Linked DNA regions of Macaca fascicularis. The protein of the gene in region 1 purifies or fractionates together with the protein of each later gene. This does not show direct contact. Links are inferred from orthologs where the notes say so. Each region holds a gene or a part of one and is shown on either strand. Other genes may lie near its edges. The genes, in order: MCM2, histone H2B type 1-B, TONSL, SSRP1 and MCMBP.

The links.
Region 2: the proteins of MCM2 (region 1) and histone H2B type 1-B purify together in Homo sapiens (affinity purification with mass spectrometry; 3 studies listed by BioGRID). This does not show direct contact. The link is inferred for Macaca fascicularis from reciprocal best matches to the Homo sapiens genes MCM2 and H2BC3.
Region 3: the proteins of MCM2 (region 1) and TONSL purify together in Homo sapiens (affinity purification with mass spectrometry; 4 studies listed by BioGRID and IntAct, with this or other methods). This does not show direct contact. The link is inferred for Macaca fascicularis from reciprocal best matches to the Homo sapiens genes MCM2 and TONSL.
Region 4: the proteins of MCM2 (region 1) and SSRP1 purify together in Homo sapiens (affinity purification with mass spectrometry; 6 studies listed by BioGRID and IntAct, counting the BioPlex papers as one, with this or other methods). This does not show direct contact. The link is inferred for Macaca fascicularis from reciprocal best matches to the Homo sapiens genes MCM2 and SSRP1.
Region 5: the proteins of MCM2 (region 1) and MCMBP purify together in Homo sapiens (co-immunoprecipitation; 6 studies listed by BioGRID and IntAct, with this or other methods). This does not show direct contact. The link is inferred for Macaca fascicularis from reciprocal best matches to the Homo sapiens genes MCM2 and MCMBP.

Annotation. Positions count from the first base shown.
Region 1 is NC_088376.1:155,842,207-155,846,427, reverse strand, and holds the start of MCM2 (DNA replication licensing factor MCM2), read left to right. Parts: upstream 1-1,413; 5' UTR 1,414-1,470; coding exon 1,471-1,476; intron 1,477-2,349; coding exon 2,350-2,579; intron 2,580-4,221. UniProt on the Homo sapiens protein: Acts as a component of the MCM2-7 complex (MCM complex) which is the replicative helicase essential for 'once per cell cycle' DNA replication initiation and elongation in eukaryotic cells.
Region 2 is NC_088378.1:146,884,600-146,888,907, reverse strand, and holds the start of histone H2B type 1-B, read right to left. Parts: upstream 2,802-4,308; 5' UTR 2,749-2,801; coding exon 2,372-2,748; intron 1-2,371. UniProt on the Homo sapiens protein: Core component of nucleosome. Nucleosomes wrap and compact DNA into chromatin, limiting DNA accessibility to the cellular machineries which require DNA as a template.
Region 3 is NC_088382.1:154,152,294-154,156,531, reverse strand, and holds the start of TONSL (tonsoku-like protein), read left to right. Parts: upstream 1-1,431; 5' UTR 1,432-1,489; coding exon 1,490-1,514; intron 1,515-1,628; coding exon 1,629-1,724; intron 1,725-1,830; coding exon of another isoform or gene 1,831-1,894; coding exon 1,895-2,037; intron 2,038-2,606; coding exon 2,607-2,790; intron 2,791-3,116; coding exon 3,117-3,246; intron 3,247-3,530; coding exon 3,531-3,702; intron 3,703-3,791; coding exon 3,792-3,906; intron 3,907-4,238. UniProt on the Homo sapiens protein: Component of the MMS22L-TONSL complex, a complex that promotes homologous recombination-mediated repair of double-strand breaks (DSBs) at stalled or collapsed replication forks.
Region 4 is NC_088388.1:16,285,505-16,289,015, forward strand, and holds part of SSRP1 (FACT complex subunit SSRP1), read left to right. Parts: intron 1-49; coding exon 50-240; intron 241-344; coding exon 345-575; intron 576-709; coding exon 710-813; intron 814-915; coding exon 916-1,044; intron 1,045-1,306; coding exon 1,307-1,528; intron 1,529-2,251; coding exon 2,252-2,324; intron 2,325-2,749; coding exon 2,750-2,888; intron 2,889-3,041; coding exon 3,042-3,087; intron 3,088-3,511. UniProt on the Homo sapiens protein: Component of the FACT complex, a general chromatin factor that acts to reorganize nucleosomes. The FACT complex is involved in multiple processes that require DNA as a template such as mRNA elongation, DNA replication and DNA repair.
Region 5 is NC_088383.1:128,875,280-128,878,790, reverse strand, and holds part of MCMBP (mini-chromosome maintenance complex-binding protein), read left to right. Parts: intron 1-562; coding exon 563-648; intron 649-1,266; coding exon 1,267-1,407; intron 1,408-1,522; coding exon 1,523-1,564; intron 1,565-3,002; coding exon 3,003-3,104; intron 3,105-3,511. UniProt on the Homo sapiens protein: Associated component of the MCM complex that acts as a regulator of DNA replication.

The DNA.
Region 1 (4,221 bases):
GGTCTTCCTGTGCGTTCCCATCTCAGCTATCATTCCCCTAGCTAAACCAGGATCCTGGTGTCATCCTGCATGCCTCTTTTGCTGTACTCAATCACCAACACCAATAGACCCCACCTCCTGGCTGGGCACGGTGGCTCACGCCTGTAATCCCAGCACTTTGGGAGGCCAAGGCAGGCAGATCCACTTGTCAGGAGTTGGAGATCAGCCTAGCTAACAATGGTGAATTCCCATCTCTACCAAAAATACAAAAATTAACCGGGCATTATGGCGTGCATCTGTAATCCCAGCTACTCAGGAGGCTAAGGCATGAGAATCACTTTGGGAGGTGGAGGTTGCAGTGAGCTGAGATTGCGCCACTGCACTCCAGCCTGGGTGACAGAGTAAGACTCTGTCTCAAAAAGAAAAAAAAAAAAAAGAAAGAAAAAGAAAAAGAAAAAAGATCCCACCTCCTAAACATCTTGTATTTCCAGTTCTCTCCATCACTCCTGCCCCTACCCTGGGTCCCATGCAGAGATGCTTATTCACTGCACAAAGTGCCTGGCTAAGAGGGCTGCGATTCAGCCCTGCCTCTGCTCACTAAGGCTGCCTGTAACTAGACAAGAACCACAACAACCTCCTCATTTGCTGCCTTCAACCTTGTTCAATCCACTTCCACCTGGTAGCAGCCGTAGGGATTCTAAAACACACACCGGTTCACGTCTCACCCTGCTCAAAATGCTTTCATGGTCTTCCATTGCCTTCAGAATACAGAATAGTCAAACTCTCTAGAAAAACATCTAACTCTTTTTTGATCCGGATTTTCTCTCCCTCAAGTCTTGTCCATTGCCCGGCATCATAAGCTCCTAGCCTTAGTTCTTAGGCAGGGGCTTGCACATCCGGGCCGTGCCATGCCCTCTGCGGCTTTGCACATGGCATCCTTCTATCTGTAACATTCTCCCTGCGTCTTCGCTCCCCTGGGCAAGGATAACTCCTACTAAAGCCTCAGATGTGACCTACAAAATCCCAGAGTTGTCCAGCTACTTGAAGCATTGAGCCTTTGAGCTTTGGGAGAAGTTAAAACATTCTGCTCCTAAGACAGTAAGAAGGCGTCGGAAAACCAGGCTCTGGACCTCTGTTGCCTTGTCAGTAAAATGGCCCTGGTGTGACCGAGGTCACGTAGCCAGCAAGTGTCGTCGGGGGCCCTGGAACCACAGCTCCTACCTCCACCCCGGCTCCCACTCCAGCTCAGGAGAGCGCACGCGCACAGCGCCCCGCCGCCCACCCTCAGGCTCTGGGCGGGACCTCCGGGCGGCGTGGGCGGGACCCGACTCTTTGGCCCACCCCTCCGTGTCCCCGCTGCTCGCCAGTGGACGCCGACGTCATGACGTCGCGTTCCGTAGGGCTCTTACCCGGCTTTGGTGGGTCACGTGAGCTACTTTTCGCGCGAAACCTGGTTGTTGCTGGAGTGGCTGAGAGGATCGTGGTACTGCGATGGCGGTGAGCGCGCTGGCGCGGGGCGGGCGGGATGGTGCGGGCGCCGGGGTCATGGGTGCGGAGGCTGCGCGCTTCCCGTACTCTTGCCCCGGCCCGGGTCGGCGCTCTGGGTGAGGTGGGGCCTCAGGCTCTGGGGCGCAGCTGCTTTCTCGCCTGCACCCCGCGTGACGCTAGGCCACCTGGCGACTCGTCTCCCCACCACTGACCTGGGGCCCTGGGTTCCCTAAGCCGCGCCCGACCCGCTCAACCCGTGTCCTTTATTCACCGCACACGTGCTTATTGAGCGCCATCTGTATGTCTGGCGCTGAGTGTACAAAAGACAGGCCCCCATCTCACTGCACTTCTTAAAACTTTTTTTTTTTTTCAATTTCCCAATGATCCTTGTTCTGAATGCTACATTTACTTTCGTATTACTTTCTTGTCCCTTTGTCTTGTGTACTGTCTGTTTCACATCTGAGTTCCAGACCTCTTGTTTTGGTGGCTCTTCTATGCCATCTCTATCACAATACCTTGCACACTGTGTGTGCTGAAATAGCTCTAATGCTTAAGGGGGAGATAGTAGACAATAAACAGGTAAATAGGCAAATGACATAACCTCAGTGGTTTTTCATGGAGAAAGCACGGTGATGTGGGTGACCCGCTATTTGAGCTGCCTCCTATTTGTTTGGAAGCCACTGGCTCGGATTGCCCAGCAGAGAGCATTCCAGCTGAGAGAACAGCAAGCGCAAAGATCTGGAGGCTGGAAGGGGATTGGTGTGTTGGAGGACAAGAGTCACAGGTGGAGAGAGAGGAGGGAAGAACCCTGATAGTAAAAAGGAAGCTGTATCATGCCTCACCAGCTTCTTAGGTTTCTGACAGCGGCACTTTCTCTTGCAGGAATCATCGGAGTCCTTCACCATGGCATCCAGCCCGGCCCAGCGTAGGCGAGGCAATGATCCTATCACCTCCAGCCCTGGCCGAAGCTCCCGGCGTACTGATGCCCTGACCTCCAGCCCTGGCCGTGACCTTCCACCCTTTGAGGATGAGTCTGAGGGGCTCCTAGGCACAGAGGGGCCCCTGGAAGAAGAAGAGGATGGAGAGGAGCTCATTGGAGATGGCATGGAAAGGTAATTTCAATCAATGCCCTGGACTCAGCAGACAATTTTGCAGAGAGCCCATTGTGTGTCTGGTGGCCTGGCTTTGGGAGCTGGGAACAAATGAATCTGATGGCATTCTTGCCTTTGAGCACAGGTTGATCCAGGGTTCTGGGGAGACAGGTTTACAGAGCCGTGACATAGGTTTCTTTAACTTACTGTATGTAACTTGGAAAGACTAGACCCTAAGGGTTGGATAAGCCTAACTCCATAAGCACCCCAGGTAATGCAGAGCTCTCTAATCTGGAGGACTGCAACTCAAAAAGACAGGAAGCAGGAAGCCCAGTGTTTCTTGGTAACTTTTCAAAGGAAAGGTGCATGGGGGAGGAGGGATCTGATAAATAAAGTTTTAGAGTCAATCAGCAACCGTTTATTATACGTAATGTGCACCATGCCCTTTGTTAGGAATGGTCTTGTTTATTAGTAAACATGTGTTGGCCGGGCATGGTGGCTCACACCTGTAATCCCAGCACTTTGGGAGGCCGAGGTCGGCGGATCACCTGAAGTCAGGAGTTTGAAACCAGCCTGGTCAACATGGTGAAACCCCGTCTCTACTAAAAATACAAAAAATTAGCCAGGCGTGGTGGTGCATGCCTGTAGTCCCAGCTATTCAGGAGGCTGAGGCAGGAGAATCGCTTGAACCCAGGAGGCGTAGGTTGCCGAGAGCCGAGATCATGCCACTGCACTCCAGCTTGGGCGACAAGAGTGAAACTCAATCTCAAAAATAAATAAATAAATACATAAATAGGTTATCAAGACTTAATGCTAGGAGAGTGGAGTAAGCTCTGCGCATGAGCAAGGCTAGATTTCTACTCCTGCCTTACTCTGCGTTTCCAGCTGGGATCTGGTAGATATGTCAGTAGCGGAGTTGTGTGAATGCCCAGGAGCCTCGTGGAGATGCTCCTTTTGTGCCTTTCCAGCCTTAGCGTGTGTGAGAGTACCGTGCAGGGCGTCCTGCCATCCCTAGGATGTCAGACAGCTGAGGGGCTTTCAAGGGCACTCCAGACTGGATGGATCTTTGCTGTTACCAGTACCACCCCCAACGATGAGACTGCACATGCTGTAGACTGTAGAAGGAATGAGGAGTCTTTGGATAAATCCACCCTGGACTTGGGGTCAGGGCATGGGGCCTGGACGGCTTCCCCATTCTGCTCAGTGGAGTTGTTCAGGCCGGATGCTCCTCCTCCACTGTGTCCTCTCCCTGTCTTGACCCTTTCTCTTTGCTTCTCTTTTCCTTCAGAGAGTGAGAGGCCCTTGGCAGGGGGCTTCTGGGTAGAGGTAGCTGAGGGATAGCTGAGCCCAATTACATTTGTTTTTGTGGTTTTTCAAAAAAATTTTTATTGGGCTATAGTTTTTTAGAGTTTGCCCCTTGCAAAAATACAATTCAATGCAAATTCAGTGTAAATTTCCTGAATTATGCAGGCTTCACCACAATCCAGTGTAAGAACAGGGCCATTGTCCCATTGATGTCCCTCCTGCCTGCTTATAGTTCATTCTCAGTTCTTACCCAACCCACGGGCAACTGAGAATCCACTTACTGTCTCTAGATTTTCCAATCTGGTAATTTCATATAAATTGAATCATATTATATATGCCCTTTTGTGATGAGCTTTTT
Region 2 (4,308 bases), on another chromosome or scaffold:
CTTAATATTTTTAAATTTTTTTTTTAATGAGTCAGGCTGTTTTTTTGGGGGGGTGTGTCTCATTCTGTCACTCAGGTTGTCACGGCGCGATCTTGGCTTGCTGCAACCTCTACCTCCCAGGCTCAAGTAATCCTCCCACCTCAGCCTCTCTAGTAACTGGAACTATAGGCATATGCCACAACGCCCAGCTAATTTTTTGTAGAGACTGGATTTCGCCATGTTGCCCAGGCTGGTCTCGAATTGTGAGCTCAAGTGGTCTGCCTGACTAAGTCTCCCAAAGTGCTGAGATTACAGGCATGATGCACCTGGCCCAAAAGTTCATTTTGCAAATGCTTATATTAGCAGGTCTCACTTCTCCGGGGAAAGATCCTAAATATCAGTTTCTTAAACTGCAGCCTCAATTGCTTAGTAATGTTTTGGGGGAGGTGGTCGTTTTATAATTTTAAAAAAAATTATAGATTTTTTAAAACACAAGCGTCTCTTTCACAACGGTAGTTTGCATATACAGTACTAGGATGGGAAGTGCTTCACTTACAGTTGTTCACTGACATTTTGTGTGGCATCCAGATTTTTTTTTTATTTTTGAGACAGGGTCTGTCCTCACCCAGGCTGGAGTGCAGTGGTGTCATCACAGCTTACTGCAACCTCCACCTTCCAGGCTCAAATGATCCTCCCACTTCAACCTCCCCAGTAGTTGGGACTACAGAAATGTGCCACCAGGCCTGGTTAATTTTTAAATTTTTGGTGGAGACAGACTCACTAAGTTGCCCAGACTGGTCTTGAGCTCCTAGGCTCAAGTGATCCTCCCACCTTGGCCTCCCAAAGTGCTGGTATTACAGGCGTGAGCTGCACCACACCCGGCCCAGAACCTCTTTTAAAATATTCTTAAAAATTAAATCTGGGCCGGGCGCGGTGACTCATTCCTACGATCTCAGCACTTTGGGAGGCCAAGGCGGGAGGATCACTTGAGCCCAGGAGTTCACTTGACCAGCCTGGGCAAGATAGTAAGACCCTTTGCCTCCACAAAAAATTAAAAAATTAACTGGGTGTGGTGGCGCATTTCTGTAGTCCCAGGTACTCAAGGGGCTGAAGTTAGAGGATAGCTTGAGCTGGAGAAGTCGAGGCTGCAGTGAGCTATGATGGCACCTGGCCAACAGAGCAAGACCATTTCTCAAAACAGAAACAATAACTGTTTGAGAAACTTTATTTCTTCATCCGAAGACACTGCTGAATGTCACCTACATATAATGCCCGTAAGTTCACTTAAAATACTCCCCTCCGATTCCCCCATCCCCTCCTACTTAGTGTGCAATCAACAGGTTCTTTTCTTCTTCCATTTCTTCCCCCAGCCCCAGACCAAGAATTGGCCCATTAAGTCCTCCTCAACTAGTACCCTTCCTGCCTTTTTCTAGCTATATTGTTTTTGGCGTCCCGGATTTCTTGAAAAATGCTTCCCTCTCCAAGTGGGGCCTTCCTAGTATCTTTGCAGTAGGGCCAGTTGGGGAAAGGCACAAAATTCAAACCCTTTTGTATCTCGCAGAGCTGGAAATCCGAATTTTAAGTGGCCTAGGAAATGGGAATCTGGATTTCTGGGATGCATGAAATATGTAAACTACATAGCTGTTGTCATTGATAAACAATTATAACGCAAAACTACTGCGATTTCATTTTGTGGAACGGGAAATATTCCCTACAAAGGCGCCCGGGAAATCAGACTTCGCTTACTGTTTCCTCAATACTGGAGGAAATCTTTCCTTCTTACTGGAGGTAAGAATTTACAGCATAGGCAAACTGCAGGAGCAAATATCCCTACACGCCCTTTTGTCGCTTAGACTTTTCTGCTCCCCTCCCCCTCATCTCAAGCGGTTAACGGCTAATGACCCCCATAGAAACACTGTACCCTGAATTGCATTACTTGTTTCATTATCCAGAAAGGAAAGTTTCCTGTGCTAGACCAGGGAGGGAGTAGTGACCATATCAAATGAATTACAACTAGTACCCGAAGGCTTACCCAGGGGGAACAAAGAAGTTTGCTAAAGGCAGATGAGAAAGAGCGCCAGCACCCTCCTAACGTTTGTATTTTTAATAGAGACCATGTTGGCCGGGCTAGTCTCGAACTCCTGACGTCAAGTGATCCGCCCGCCTCGGCCTCCCAAAATGCTGGGATTAAAGGCGACAGCCACGGCGCGCTGCCCCAAGTTAACCTTGGCTCTAAAAGTTGCCTTCGCTAACATTCTAGTTGATCCTCTAGAACTGAAGCAGAACAGAGGCAGCACCACCTTAAGAAATTGTGGTTATAGCTCTCTTTGCGACAAAGTAGGTGGCTCTGAAAAGAGCCTTTGGGTTTGGAGGTGCTTACATAAGCACTTACTTGGAGCTAGTGTACTTGGTAACAGCCTTGGTGCCCTCGGACACAGCATGCTTAGCCAGTTCCCCGGGCAGCAGCAGGCGCACAGCCGTCTGGATCTCCCTGGAGGTGATGGTCGAGCGCTTGTTGTAGTGCGCCAGGCGGGAAGCTTCGCCCGCGATGCGCTCGAAGATGTCATTGACAAAGGAGTTCATGATCCCCATGGCCTTGGAGGAGATGCCGGTGTCGGGGTGGACCTGCTTCAGAACCTTGTACACATAGATGGAATAGCTCTCCTTTCGGCTGCGCTTACGCTTCTTACCATCCTTCTTCTGCGCCTTAGTGATGGCCTTCTTAGAGCCCTTTTTAGGGGCAGGAGCAGACTTAGAGGGTTCAGGCATCGCTATTCCTAAAACAAAACAAAAAAGCTACTAACACTCTCCAGCAGAGTAGTAGAGAGAACAGTTCAGAGCCCACGTATTTATAGTCCTGAGATTCAAATGACGGTTTAAGATTCCTCACTTCTGATTGGATAAAAGAAATACAGTTTCACTGAGGGGTGGGGTTTATGCAAATATGGAATTTATGGACTCTTTTTCTATTGGATAAAGCAGGAAACATAATTGACCAATAGGATAACTCTCTATTGCAGCCTTGCAGTTTGTATAAAAGTATTTCTTCAGGCGCCATTCCATCTTGCTTGTTTTTTACAGTTTTCAGAGGTCGCTGTGTTTGGACATGGAAAACGGAAGTAAAGCACAAAGTTGTTCATCGGTACCAGCCTTGCAGTTTCTAGTAGCGCAGGGTCCATCGTCTTTTTCGAAAGGGCAATTATTCTGAGCCTGTCGAAGCCGGCGCGCCGCTGTACTTAGAATACCTGGCCGCCGATATCCTGGAGCTGACACGCAGCGCCATACGTGACAAGACCCATAGCATCCCCCGCCACTTGCAGCTGGCCTTCCGCAACGACGAGCAGCTCAACAAGCTGCTGGGCAAAGTCACTATTACTCAGGGAGGCGTCCTGGCCAATATTCAGGCCGTCCTGTTGCAAAAATAACCGAGAACCACGATAAGGCCAAAAGCAAGTAAAGCCCACTCAAGCCAGAAAACGTACCTTAAACTTGCTACGGCATTTTTCAGAACCGTCCATTGTTTCACAAGAAAGGATGGTAACTTGCTTGTGTTTCGGGTACCTTTTGGTTTTGGTTTGGATTGGTTTGAGACAGAGTTTCGCTCTGTCACCCAAGCTGGAATGCCGCCGCGCGATATCGGCTCACTGCAACCTCCACCCCGCGGCTTCACCAGGTTCTCATGCCTCAGCCTCCTTTGTACCTGGGATTACAGGCGTCTGCTACCACGCCTAGCCAATTTTTGTATTTTTATTCGAGACGGGGTTTTCACCATTTTAGCTAGGGTTGTCTTGAACTCCTGGCCTCAAGTGATCCTCCCATCTTGCCCTCCCAAAATGCTGGGATTACAGGCGTGAGCCACGGCCCCCCTAGCCTAATGGTGTTTAAAAATTAAGTTTCGAGGAAATATCTTCTTTAAGAAACTACATTTTAGAGTATACAAAGTGAAACTAAAGCCAACCAAAATAAGACAGTTTGAGAACAGTCAGGGTGGGAATGTGACTTGGACTTAGAAAACGAAGGATAAGGAAACTGGCTGTTGACCAGTAACAAAATAGCATGGAATTCTCATTCTCTGAATGTAAGTAGTTTCCGACATGAGGCAGTCAACGTTTCTGGTGGTTTAGTGAGTGTTCACCAGCACTGATAACTTTCAAGACTGTCAGGAATGCAGAATTTCAAGTCCCACGCAAACTTACTGAATCGGAATTTACATTAAAAAAATCCGTAGATGCTTTGTTATGTACCTTGTTCTTTGGGACTGGATGAACTAGAATTTTAGACAATTTATCCCTGCAGATAACAAACAAAAAGGACATGATGGGCGGTGGG
Region 3 (4,238 bases), on another chromosome or scaffold:
CGTTTTCTCTCTCTCTTCCTTTTTTTTGAGATGGAGTCTTACTCTGCCGCCCAGGGTGGAGTGCAGTGGTGCGATCTCGGCTCACTGCAAGCTCCGCCTCCCAGGTTCACACCATTCTCCTGCCTCAGCCTCCCGAGTGGCTGGGACTACAGGCACCCGCCACCATGCCCGGCTAATTTTTTGTATTTTTTGTAGAGACAGGGTTTCACCGTGTTAGCCACGATGGTCTCGATCTTCTGACCTCGTGATCCGCCCGCCTTGGCCTCCCAAAGTGTTGGGATTACAGGCGTGAGCCCAGGAAGAGTGCGCCTGGCCCTCTCTTCCTCTTTCTTTTCCTCCCTCCCTCCTTTCTTTTTTTTAAATAAAAATGGGGTATCAGGCCGGACGTGCTGGCTTATGCCTATAATACCAGCACTTTGGGAGGCCGAGGTAGGCGGATCACGAGGTCAGGAGTTTGAAACCAGCCTGGCCAGCATGGTGAAACCCCGTTTCTACTAAAAATGCAAAAATTAGCCGGGCATGCTGGCACATGCCTGTAGTCCCAGCTACTTGGAAGGCTGAGGCAGGAGAATCGCTTGAACTCAGGAGGAGGAGGTTGTGGTGAGCTGATATCGCACCATTGCACGCCAGCCTGGGCGACACAGCGAGACTCACACACAAACACGCACACACACAAAAAGATGGGGGTCTCACTATGTTGCCCAGGCTGGTCTCGAACTGCTAGGCTCAAGCGATCCTCCTGACTGCACCTCCCAAGGCGCCTGGATTACAGTGCGGGCCAGTGCGCCCGGGCTACTTCTGCAGCTTAAGCGCAGGTTCACTGACTCTTCCGAGAATACAGCTGACATATACGTTGCTGAAACGGTACTTGTTTACTACGGAAAGCACATTCCCCTACCAGAACATTCCTTGGGGCCGAGTCCCCAAATGTGACCCACTGCGTTCTGTGGAGGAGGAGCGCACCTTATTCCGTCCCCACAGCCAAATGCTCGTGAACTTATCGTCAGTCTTCTATCTGGACCCTACGTGCGTTTTTCACAGTTGCGCGTGTGAGCAGGTTGTGTGTGAATTTCAGGAGGAACTGGGGCGGCGGCACAGCTCGTCCACCTTGAGAGGCGCGGGCGGCACGCGGGCTGCAGTTCAGAAGAGCCCACCCAGGGCGCGCTGCGACCCCGGCCTCCCGTGTCCCCGCCTCCTGCGAGGAGGAACGGGGTCCCCATCAGGCACTCCCCGGGCAGGGCAGAGGGCTCCACGCGCGGGCCAACCTCGGCGTCCGGGAAGATAACTCCTCGGGTCGACGCCCTAGTTGTCGCCGCGTCCCCGCCCCAGCTCCTCCCACACTAGAACTTCGAGGATGTCGCGGGCGGACCGTACTTCCCAGCATGCCCCGCGCCCACCGCCGCCGTCGAGGGGCGGGGCCTGCGTGTCGGCGGCGAGGGGCGGGGCCGCGGCGCAGCGCGGGAAGTCCAGATCCCGCGGCGACCCGAGCATGAGCCTGGATCGCGAGCTTCGCCGTGAGTCCCTCGGGGGCCCCTTGCGCCGGGGGCACGGAGGCTAGGGAGGGTCTGGGACTCGGCCCCGGCCCCGAATCCCGCCGCGGAGGCTCAGCTCTCCTCTTCCTCCGACAGAGCTGAGCAAGGCGAAGGCCAAGGCGCAGAGGGCCGGGCAGCGGCGCGAGGAGGCAGCGCTGTGCCACCAGCTGGGGGAGCTCCTGGCCGGCCATGGTGAGCGCTGGGACCAGGAAGCGGGGTGCACGGCCGGGGGCTGGGGGCTGGGGGCTGGGGCCCGCGCCGGGGTCGGGGGCCGGGGGTCGACGGGCTCTTCCCGCAGACGCCGCCCCAGGTCCGCCCTCGCACCCGCGACGCCTGCCAGGCCGTGCTGTGTCCCCGCCTAGGCCGCTACGCCGAAGCCCTGGAGCAGCACTGGCAGGAGCTGCGGCTCCGGGAGAGCGCTGACGACCCCCTGGGCTGTGCCGTGGCCCACCGCAAGATCGGAGAGCGCCTGGCCGAGATGGAGGACTACCCGACTGCCTTGCAGGTGCGGGCGCCCTCACTGGCCTCGCCCAGCCCGGTCGGCCTCTGTTTGGAGCCCTTTTCTGAGGAGGGAGGCCCGGTCTTCACCGTCAGGAGCCTCGGGCTGGAAGGGACACCTGGCCTGACGCAGCCTTAACTTCACCGCGCCGGCCCAGTCCTCCAGTGGGGACCCCCCAGCCTTTCCTGGGACTGGGGCAGGAGTAGGTTTCCTGGCACCAGAAACCATTAATGAATGTTATTTTAGCTGTGTTTGTGTTGGGGGTGGTCAGGCCCCAGCCCGAAAGCTCTCCCTGACCCTGGCTGCTGGAGGCAGGACTGCAAACCCCCACCCCACCAATCCCCAGCCGCCCCTCCCCACGTGACAGCGTTGGCTGCATACAGCGTGAAGCCACTGTCACCACAGAGAGGCCTTGGCATGCAGAGGAGGGGCATGTGGCCGACCTTGGCCTGCTCTGTGGGGGTTAAGGGGAGCAGGAGTCTTTCCTTAGCAAGAACAGGGTCTCTGGGAATCTGGCAGCGCTGGTTTGCTTGAGGCGGGGTCAGCTCACAGCAGTGACTTCCTTCCACACTCAGCACCAGCACCACTACCTGGAGCTAGCACATTCCCTGCGCAACCACACGGAGCTGCAGAGGGCCTGGGCCACCATCGGCCGCACCCACCTGGACATCTATGACCACTGCCAGTCGAGGGATGCTCTGCTGCAGGCACAGGCTGCCTTTGAGAAGAGCTTGGCTATTGTGGATGAGGAGCTGGAGGGTGGGCAGGCCCCTTCTCGTTTTCTGCCTCCTGAACTGCAGGCTGAAGAGGCTGCAGCCCAGCACCCCCGCAGCCTCCTTGGGCGATCTCGTCTTCTGGGGCCCTCCCTTTGCAGGGCTCTTGTGTGAGGGGTGCATGCCCTCCGCAACCTTTTCCCTGGAGATCCTCGGCTCTTTATCCACTCTGTGCTCTGTCTGCAGCAGGACCCTTGCCCCAACATCGGGAGGAGGGAGAGGGTAGGAGAGGCACTGCACAGGCCCCAAATGGGGCCCAAAGCTGGAAACCCCATGTGGGGAGAAAGTGGCTGAGTGGGGGGCATCTTCCAGGGACACTGGCTCAGGGAGAGCTGAATGAGATGAGGACCCGCCTCTACCTCAACCTGGGTCTTACCTTTGAGAGCCTGCAGCAGACAGCCCTGTGCAACGATTACTTCAGGAAGAGCATCTTCCTTGCGGAGTAAGGCCCCACCCCACCCCAGGAGAGAGTGGAGTCCCTTGTTCCTGGAGGAAGTAGTTAGGGGAGTATTTCTCCCAGGGTCCTCCTGAGAGAGCACCCTGGCTGGGCCTCATCCCCCACCTCTCACACCTGTGCCTCACACTGGGCGAAGACCAGGCATGGTTAGGGCCCTGAGACCATAGCATGGCAGGGCTGGGGCCTGTGTGGCATCAGCAGCTATCACCGGTGGGACGCTCCTGGGTGCTCAGGAGCTCGTAGGTGCTCAGGCCATCACCCCTCTGCAGGCAGAACCACCTTTACGAGGACCTGTTCCGCGCCCGCTACAACCTGGGCACCGTCCACTGGCGCGCGGGCCAGCACTCCCAGGCTATGCGCTGCTTGGAGGGTGCCCGGGAGTGTGCGCACACCATGAGGAAGCGGTTCATGGAGAGCGAGTGCTGCGTGGCCATCGCACAGGTACCCGCTGTGTGTGGTTCCGAGCTCAGGCTCCTGGAGACTTGGGCCTTGGGGATTTTGCAAAAACCGTGCTGTCCTTTGCTCTCCAGGTCCTCCAAGACCTGGGAGACTTTCTGGCTGCCAAGCGAGCCCTGAAGAAGGCCTACAGGCTGGGCTCCCAGAAGCCTGTGCAGAGAGCAGCCGTCTGTCAGAACCTCCAGCATGGTGAGCCTGGGGCTGAGGTGGGGCCCCGGGGGTGTGGGGTGGGGGGGGGGTGAGGGGGGTGAACCTCCCGCATGGTGAGCCTGGGGCCGGGGTGGGGCCCCGGGAGTTGTGTGCAGGGGCGAGCCCAGGGGGGCGTGGAGTCCTGCCAGGTGTGTACGGAGCTCCCTCCCTCACAGAGGAGGCATGAGCACCTGTCCTTGGAGGCAGCAGCTTCCGCAAGAGGGACAGGTGCCCTAGTTCCTGACAGGAGAAAACCCCCGTTTTTCTCTGAGCTCAACACAGTGTGTCAGGGGCACTGAAAGGGCGGCCAGGAGACCAGTTGGGCTTTTATT
Region 4 (3,511 bases), on another chromosome or scaffold:
GCAGACTTAAGGGGAGGAGCTTGTGGCTTGACAAGCCCTTTCCTCACAGGGCAGCTGCTTTCCTTTGACATTGGTGACCAGCCAGTCTTTGAGATACCCCTCAGCAATGTGTCCCAGTGCACCACTGGCAAGAATGAGGTGACACTGGAATTCCACCAAAACGATGACGCAGAGGTGTCTCTCATGGAGGTCCGCTTTTATGTCCCTCCCACCCAGGAGGATGGTGTGGACCCTGTTGAGGTGAGGCGTCCCCTGGTTGCCTTGGCAGCAGATGGTGCTGAGCAGGCATTGGCTGGCCTGGGAGCAGGGCCTGCTGCTTGGTTACCAATGTGTGCTTTTTGCAGGCCTTTGCCCAGAATGTGTTGTCGAAGGCGGATGTAATCCAGGCCACGGGAGATGCCATCTGCATCTTCCGGGAGCTGCAGTGTCTGACTCCTCGAGGGCGTTACGACATTCGGATCTACCCCACCTTTCTGCACCTGCATGGCAAGACCTTTGACTACAAGATCCCCTATACCACAGTGCTGCGTCTGTTTTTGTTACCCCACAAGGACCAGCGACAGATGTTCTTTGTGGTAAGCCGAAACCCCTATGGCCGGATAATCGTGGTTTTTGCGTGTTAAGTAGACGGACCTCACTGGTGTGCAGAATTCTATGTTAGTGAATCGCAAGTTGTTGTAGAGTATCAATTGGTGCTCTTCCTTACTAGATCAGCCTGGACCCCCCAATCAAGCAAGGCCAAACTCGCTACCACTTCCTGATCCTCCTCTTCTCCAAGGACGAGGACATTTCGTTGACTCTGAACATGAACGAGTGAGTGTCTCCCTGGACTCGTTTCCTGCCACTGTCCAGGCCGGAGACAGGTGTGCCATTAGAAGGCAGTAGTGTTGTGACCTCACCTTGCTGTCTTTGTAGGGAAGAAGTGGAGAAGCGCTTCGAGGGTCGTCTCACCAAGAACATGTCAGGATCCCTCTATGAGATGGTCAGCCGGGTCATGAAAGCGCTGGTGAACCGCAAGATCACAGTGCCAGGCAACTTCCAAGGGTGAGCGTGTGGGCCTGGGATCCTGCCCTGCCTGGGTATGGGAAATGCTGTGTCTCCTTGGTAAACCCCTCCTGAGATGGGATTGCAGCCTGTTACAGGTCTGGATGGGACCTTGTGTCACAACAGGTGTCAGCGCCTCTGTCAGAACAGCTCAGTGAGGTTTACTTAGTCGAGGACATGAGCACACATGTCGCTGCTGCTAGATGTGCCCTTTGCTTCTGCTGAGGTTGGCACTAACCAGGCTCCCTGCACCCTCTGTCAGGCACTCAGGGGCCCAGTGCATTACCTGTTCCTACAAGGCGAGCTCAGGACTGCTCTACCCGCTGGAGCGGGGCTTCATCTACGTCCACAAGCCACCTGTACACATCCGCTTCGACGAGATCTCCTTTGTCAACTTTGCTCGTGGTACCACTACAACTCGTTCCTTTGACTTTGAAATTGAGACCAAGCAGGGCACTCAGTATACCTTCAGCAGCATTGAGAGGTGAGAACCTCCACCCGTCACTTTCTGGGCATCCTGGTCCTGAGCCAGCTTTGTCCAGGAAACCCAGCATGGCCTGCGGCACTCTCCAACCCTAGAGCAGAATTTTTCTTCTGCTACATCAGGATTTGGTCATTTTCCCTGGAGTGCTCAGACTTTAGAAATCTCTCCATTGCTTTCTTTCTGGTCATTTAAAAAAAACAACGAAAAACTTTTTCTGTATTCTGAAAGCTATGTCTTCACTACTGACCTTTTTTCTCCTCCACTCCCCACAATGGAAATGCTATTTCTTTCCTGGAATGAGTTTTGTGCCTGAGAACATAGCAGCTAATGCTTATTTAGTGCTCACTGTGAGCTAAATGTTTTATAAGCATTTTCACGTGTAATCCTCATATCAACCTTGTGAAGTATGAAGACAGATGACCACACCCCCTGCCCCACACTTACTCCGCCCTGAGCTTATTTGGTAAACAGATGCGCACCCCTCCCTGCCTTTTCTTTCCCAGAGCTCTTCACAGCCATGCAGGTTCCTCTTTCAGGACTAATGTCAGGCTCTGGCTCTGCCTTACTGCTGTCCTCTGGGGGTCTCTAAGCTGTTGGGTTGGGTGGCATGGTCAGGAACTCCAGGCTCCACAGTCTACCCCAGCTCATGGAATCAGAACGTTGTTTAGTCCGCCCCTGTGTCAGCACTACCTCTCTGGTAACATGGTGCATGTCCCCTCACAGGGAGGAGTATGGGAAACTGTTTGATTTTGTCAATGCGAAAAAACTCAACATCAAAAACCGAGGATTGAAAGAGGTACTTCTGTGTGGGGAGCATGAGACCCTCTCCTGGTCTTTCTGTAGGGGAGAAAGGGGTGGAGATTTTTTCCGGCTTCTTTTTCACTCTTTCTTCTCTTCTTACCCTTATAGAAAAAAGAGGTGCGTGTGACCCTTTCCCCCTCCTGGTGCAGGTTTCCTCTGCATGACCTTAGACCAGTCTATGCAGCCCCTCAGGAGCCCCCAGTGGGGCTGGGAGAGGGAGGGGCTTGGGGCTTGGACTAACCCAGTTGGCAGGAAGTACTTGGGCGTAGGCCCTGCACGTTGGCTGTGTGTGGACAATCCAGCCCCAGGTCCTCTGGGAGCTGCTGCTCTGACTTGACAGGCATGGGGGTGTGCTTTTGAGTGTGCAGGGATTCTGGCTCGAGGGTGAGTTGGCCCCACTGTGAACTCTTCCCTGGCTAGGGCATGAACCCAAGCTACGACGAATATGCCGACTCTGATGAGGACCAGCATGATGCCTACTTGGAGAGGATGAAGGAGGAAGGCAAGATCCGGGAGGAGAATGCCAATGACAGCAGCGATGACTCGGGAGAAGAAACCGGTGGGTTAGCCTCCGTGCTGAGCACGAGGATGGTCAGATGTTCCTTGCTGTGGCCCGGGCTGGACTCACCCTTAGGCCAGAGCTGGGTGCCTGGGTGAGGGGGTGGGGATTTCCATTGGGGCAGAAGCTGATGCGTCCTGTGCCCTTTTTCAGATGAGTCATTCAACCCAGGTGAAGAGGAGGAAGATGTGGCAGAGGAGTGAGTTTTGGTGGTACCTTGTGGGGATAAGATGGTGACCCATAAGCTTAAAGGACCAGAAGATTTCTGGACATTTCTCATGTCCCAGCATTAGCTACTGACCCGGAATGGGAGAGTGACCTCCAATGAGGTGATACACAAAATGTTTTGGAAATTGTCAAGGGCTTCGTAAGTGCAAGGCACATTTTGAAGTCAGAAAAGTATAGTGGGGTCTATGGCCATACCACCCTGAATATGCCAGTTGGGGCTGGTTCGTAGTTGGATGAGGAGAGAATGGGAATGAGAGCTGGTACTTGTCACTTATTTCCTGGAGGTTGTCGATTAAGTCATTGAATCTCAATTTCCTCATCGGTAGAAATGCAGTAGTACCGACTTTTTATTAGCAGTGTCAGAAATGTGACTCACTCTCACTTTAAAAGGAAAT
Region 5 (3,511 bases), on another chromosome or scaffold:
CCTGATAGTGCAACTTAATCTTAAATGAATCAGAAAAATATAAGAGATGGAGCAGATGATAAGCAAATGGGGCAAGGATACAAGTGTTCTTTCCAACTTTTTTGAATCTAGAATTATTCCCAAATGAAGTTATAAACAAAAAAATTTCAGCTCTTTATTTCAGGATAGTTGTAAAGATAAACAAAAAACTATATAAAATGTATTAAAAGAACAGAGTGCTTTACAAGCAGTGGCTCAAATGCTGCTGAATCTAGGTGGCCTTGCATCACATTCTGTAGGTGTCCCCAGCTACACTGTGGGTGCCAGAGAGCCTGCAGGAGGTCAGCATCCTCCTGATTTGTAACTGTCCCTCCCCCCGCTCAGTACAGCTTCTTGAATGTGTCTTGTGTAGTACTTCAGACACACTGAAGTGTAAAATTCATCCTATCTAAAATTCATTCTATCGTAGAAGCAAATTTTAGTTTGTTTTCTGCTGGCTAAACTATTGTGTGACTCACCTGATCATAGTCTCTTATTATTTATTGCATATACATTAGCTTTGAAAAGTATATTTCTCTTTCAGCACAAAATGGAGTTAATCCTGACTGGGAGAAGAAAGTAATTGAATATTTTAAGGAAAAGCTGAAGGAAAATAATGCTCCTAAGTGGGTAAGCTTATTGCTATTTTCGAGGGAGAAGGTTGGACAGACTACAAAGTTTCTCTTAGTAGAGTAACTAAGTAACCCCCATGTAATTTAAAAATATGTAAATTAATGTGTACTTCTGCTTCAAGTACATTTGTATTAAAAGATTTTGGTCTTTTGCTAATTAAGTTTAAGCAAATAAATACTTATACATTATGCCTCTAGGTGGCAGTAACTGACTGTGTTACTTCCTGAGACACATCTTTAGTTCCAAGAGTCAGTTAGTTACCTTTGTTTTATTACCTTTATTTTAAAAGAATTGGCATGTGCTAGTTTTAAGAGAAGAGCTCAACAAAGTAAATGCCTTTTTGATCATTGAAAAGTGTTCTGAATTAAAAGCATTTTTTAGCATTCTTTTACATTATGGTCAAATGTTATCTAAAACTTGGAAGAAATGGAAGAGAACTTGGGTTCCAGCAATTATGTTGACCATTGAGATCATTTGGCTCCCTGACGAGGCATGGGGGGTGTGTGTGTGTGTGTGTTTAACAATTTTGAGTCTGGACATAAAGTTTGTGTATATATGCTTAATGTTGTATAGACAGGATATTTAGTTGACTTAACTTGATTATTTTCCTTTAAGGTACCATCACTGAACGAAGTTCCCCTTCATTATTTGAAACCTAATAGTTTTGTGAAATTTCGTTGCATGATTCAGGATATGTTTGACCCTGAGTTTTACATGGGAGTTTATGAAACGGTTAACCAAAACACAAAAGCACATGTAAGTATTGCTGTTTTCATGAATTTGTGGTATTAATTTTGTCCTTGTACTGTTTGTGGTAGTTTTGGTTCTGATATATTGATATAATTCTGTTTTTCTATGTTTTGGGTCATAGGTTCTTCATTTTGGAAAATATAGAGATGTAGCAGAGTGTGGGGTATGTATCTTTAATATATATAAAACATTTTTAGTAAGAATTTTTTCCTAAACAGAGAATTTGTTTGTTTAGCTAATCTTAGATTTATTTATCTTGAGTATAAGTTACAAGAAATCACGTGAAATGTTTTCCTTGTTTGACTTTATTTAGGAGTTTGATGTGACTGTTTTTAATCCTCCAGAGATCTTTTAGAAGGAGAAGTACTGTTAATGCCAAAATTAATTCCTCTCTCCAATATCTGTATATAATATATGTAAAACAAAGTACCCTAGGGTGCAAAATTAAGTCGTTTTTAATTCCTTCAAAGACAAAGCCAGTGGTAATTCCACTGTTTCTTTCATAGAAAACTGTCAGAATCAGCCTATAATACAGAAATCTGATGAAATACTCATTCCTAGGTAGCTCCAAGATGAGATTCAAAAGTCATATATTATTCCCTAGGAAAGGCATATTCTCTTTCATATATACTTAGAAAACTCTAAGAAGTGGAAAGGACCCAAGAGACATCAAGTTTGAGCCTAATACATACAAGCAAGGATTTTTTGTTTGCTTTTCTCTCTAGGCCCAAAGTACCTTTTTCCTAGAATGAGTCTTTTATTTATGACTCTTGAGCAACATATGTACCAACTCTCTATTAGCCTTTGGTAGTGTCACACATGCACAGCCTCATTTATTTTATTGACCCATTTCCAGATTCTGGGATTACTGAGTTACATTAATACTCAGCTTTTTCTAGTATACAGTAATGTAATATGTTAGCCTAATGTGTTAGGGCTCCTTAAATGAGGAATACCGTAATCATTAATGTAGTTGATCCATTAAGCTGGGCACAGTATTTGTTTTATGGAAACACTCTAAAAGAAAAACAGACCTGAAGTTCATCATGTGTAAGATTACATAAATCTGTCTTTCAAATGAGTTCTTTACTCTAATTGTCAGAAGTTACATTTTTGTTTAATATAATCTTTGCAGTAACCTTCCAAATTAGGGCAGTTTTTCTGTCCAGATCTGCCTACTGAACTAGAATATTTAATTAGCAACAACTGTTGTGAATTAACAGACTGATATTGGGGTTTGATAAATCAGTTTCCTAAGGTTTGGGTAAGCCAAGAGTTAGACTCCAAGAATATAAAAAGGCCTAGATAACCTCATAAAAGTAAGGTTCTAGATCCACAAAGCAGAGAACTAGACCCAGATTATAAGTCACTCCACAGAGGTCCCATTTTTCTGGATTTGAGGGAGGAAGTGTTTGATGACTGTATTTGAAGTGATTTTATATCAGTTTTCTTTGAAAAAGTGATAGTTTGGAATTAGTTACTTGTTAACTCTGTAAAATATTTGTTGTGGTGCTATGTGAAAATGTGGTTGCTAATTTTAAAATAAATTTTGTGATGTTTTTAAATAAATTTTTTAAAATACTTTTTTATGTATATCACAGCCTCAACAAGAACTTGATTTAAACTCTCCACGAAATACCACTTTGGAAAGACAGACTTTCTATTGTGTTCCGGTGCCTGGGGAATCTACGTGGGTAAAAGAAATATCCTTTATCTGAACTTTCTTATTGTGTTGATGGTTTCTAAAACCTTAACCTTTAATTATTCATCCTTTGCAAAGCTTGGCTTTATTTCAATAAAATGTGTTTCATTTGTTCTAATTGAGAAAACCCATAAAACAGGCTAAGTATTTGTCACCGAGGAATGCTAAAATTACAGTACATTTCTATAGTGAAATACTGTTAAAAAGATTGAGGTAATTTTTTTTTTTTTTTTTTGAGATAGGGACTTACTGTCACCCAGGCTGGAGTGCAGTGGCACAAACATGGCTCACTGCTGCTTCAACCTCCTGGGTTCAAGCAATCCTCCTGCCTTAGCCTCCCAAGTAGCTGGGACCACAAGCGTGTGCCACCATCCCTGGCGAATTTTTTGATTTCTTTTAGAAAGAGGG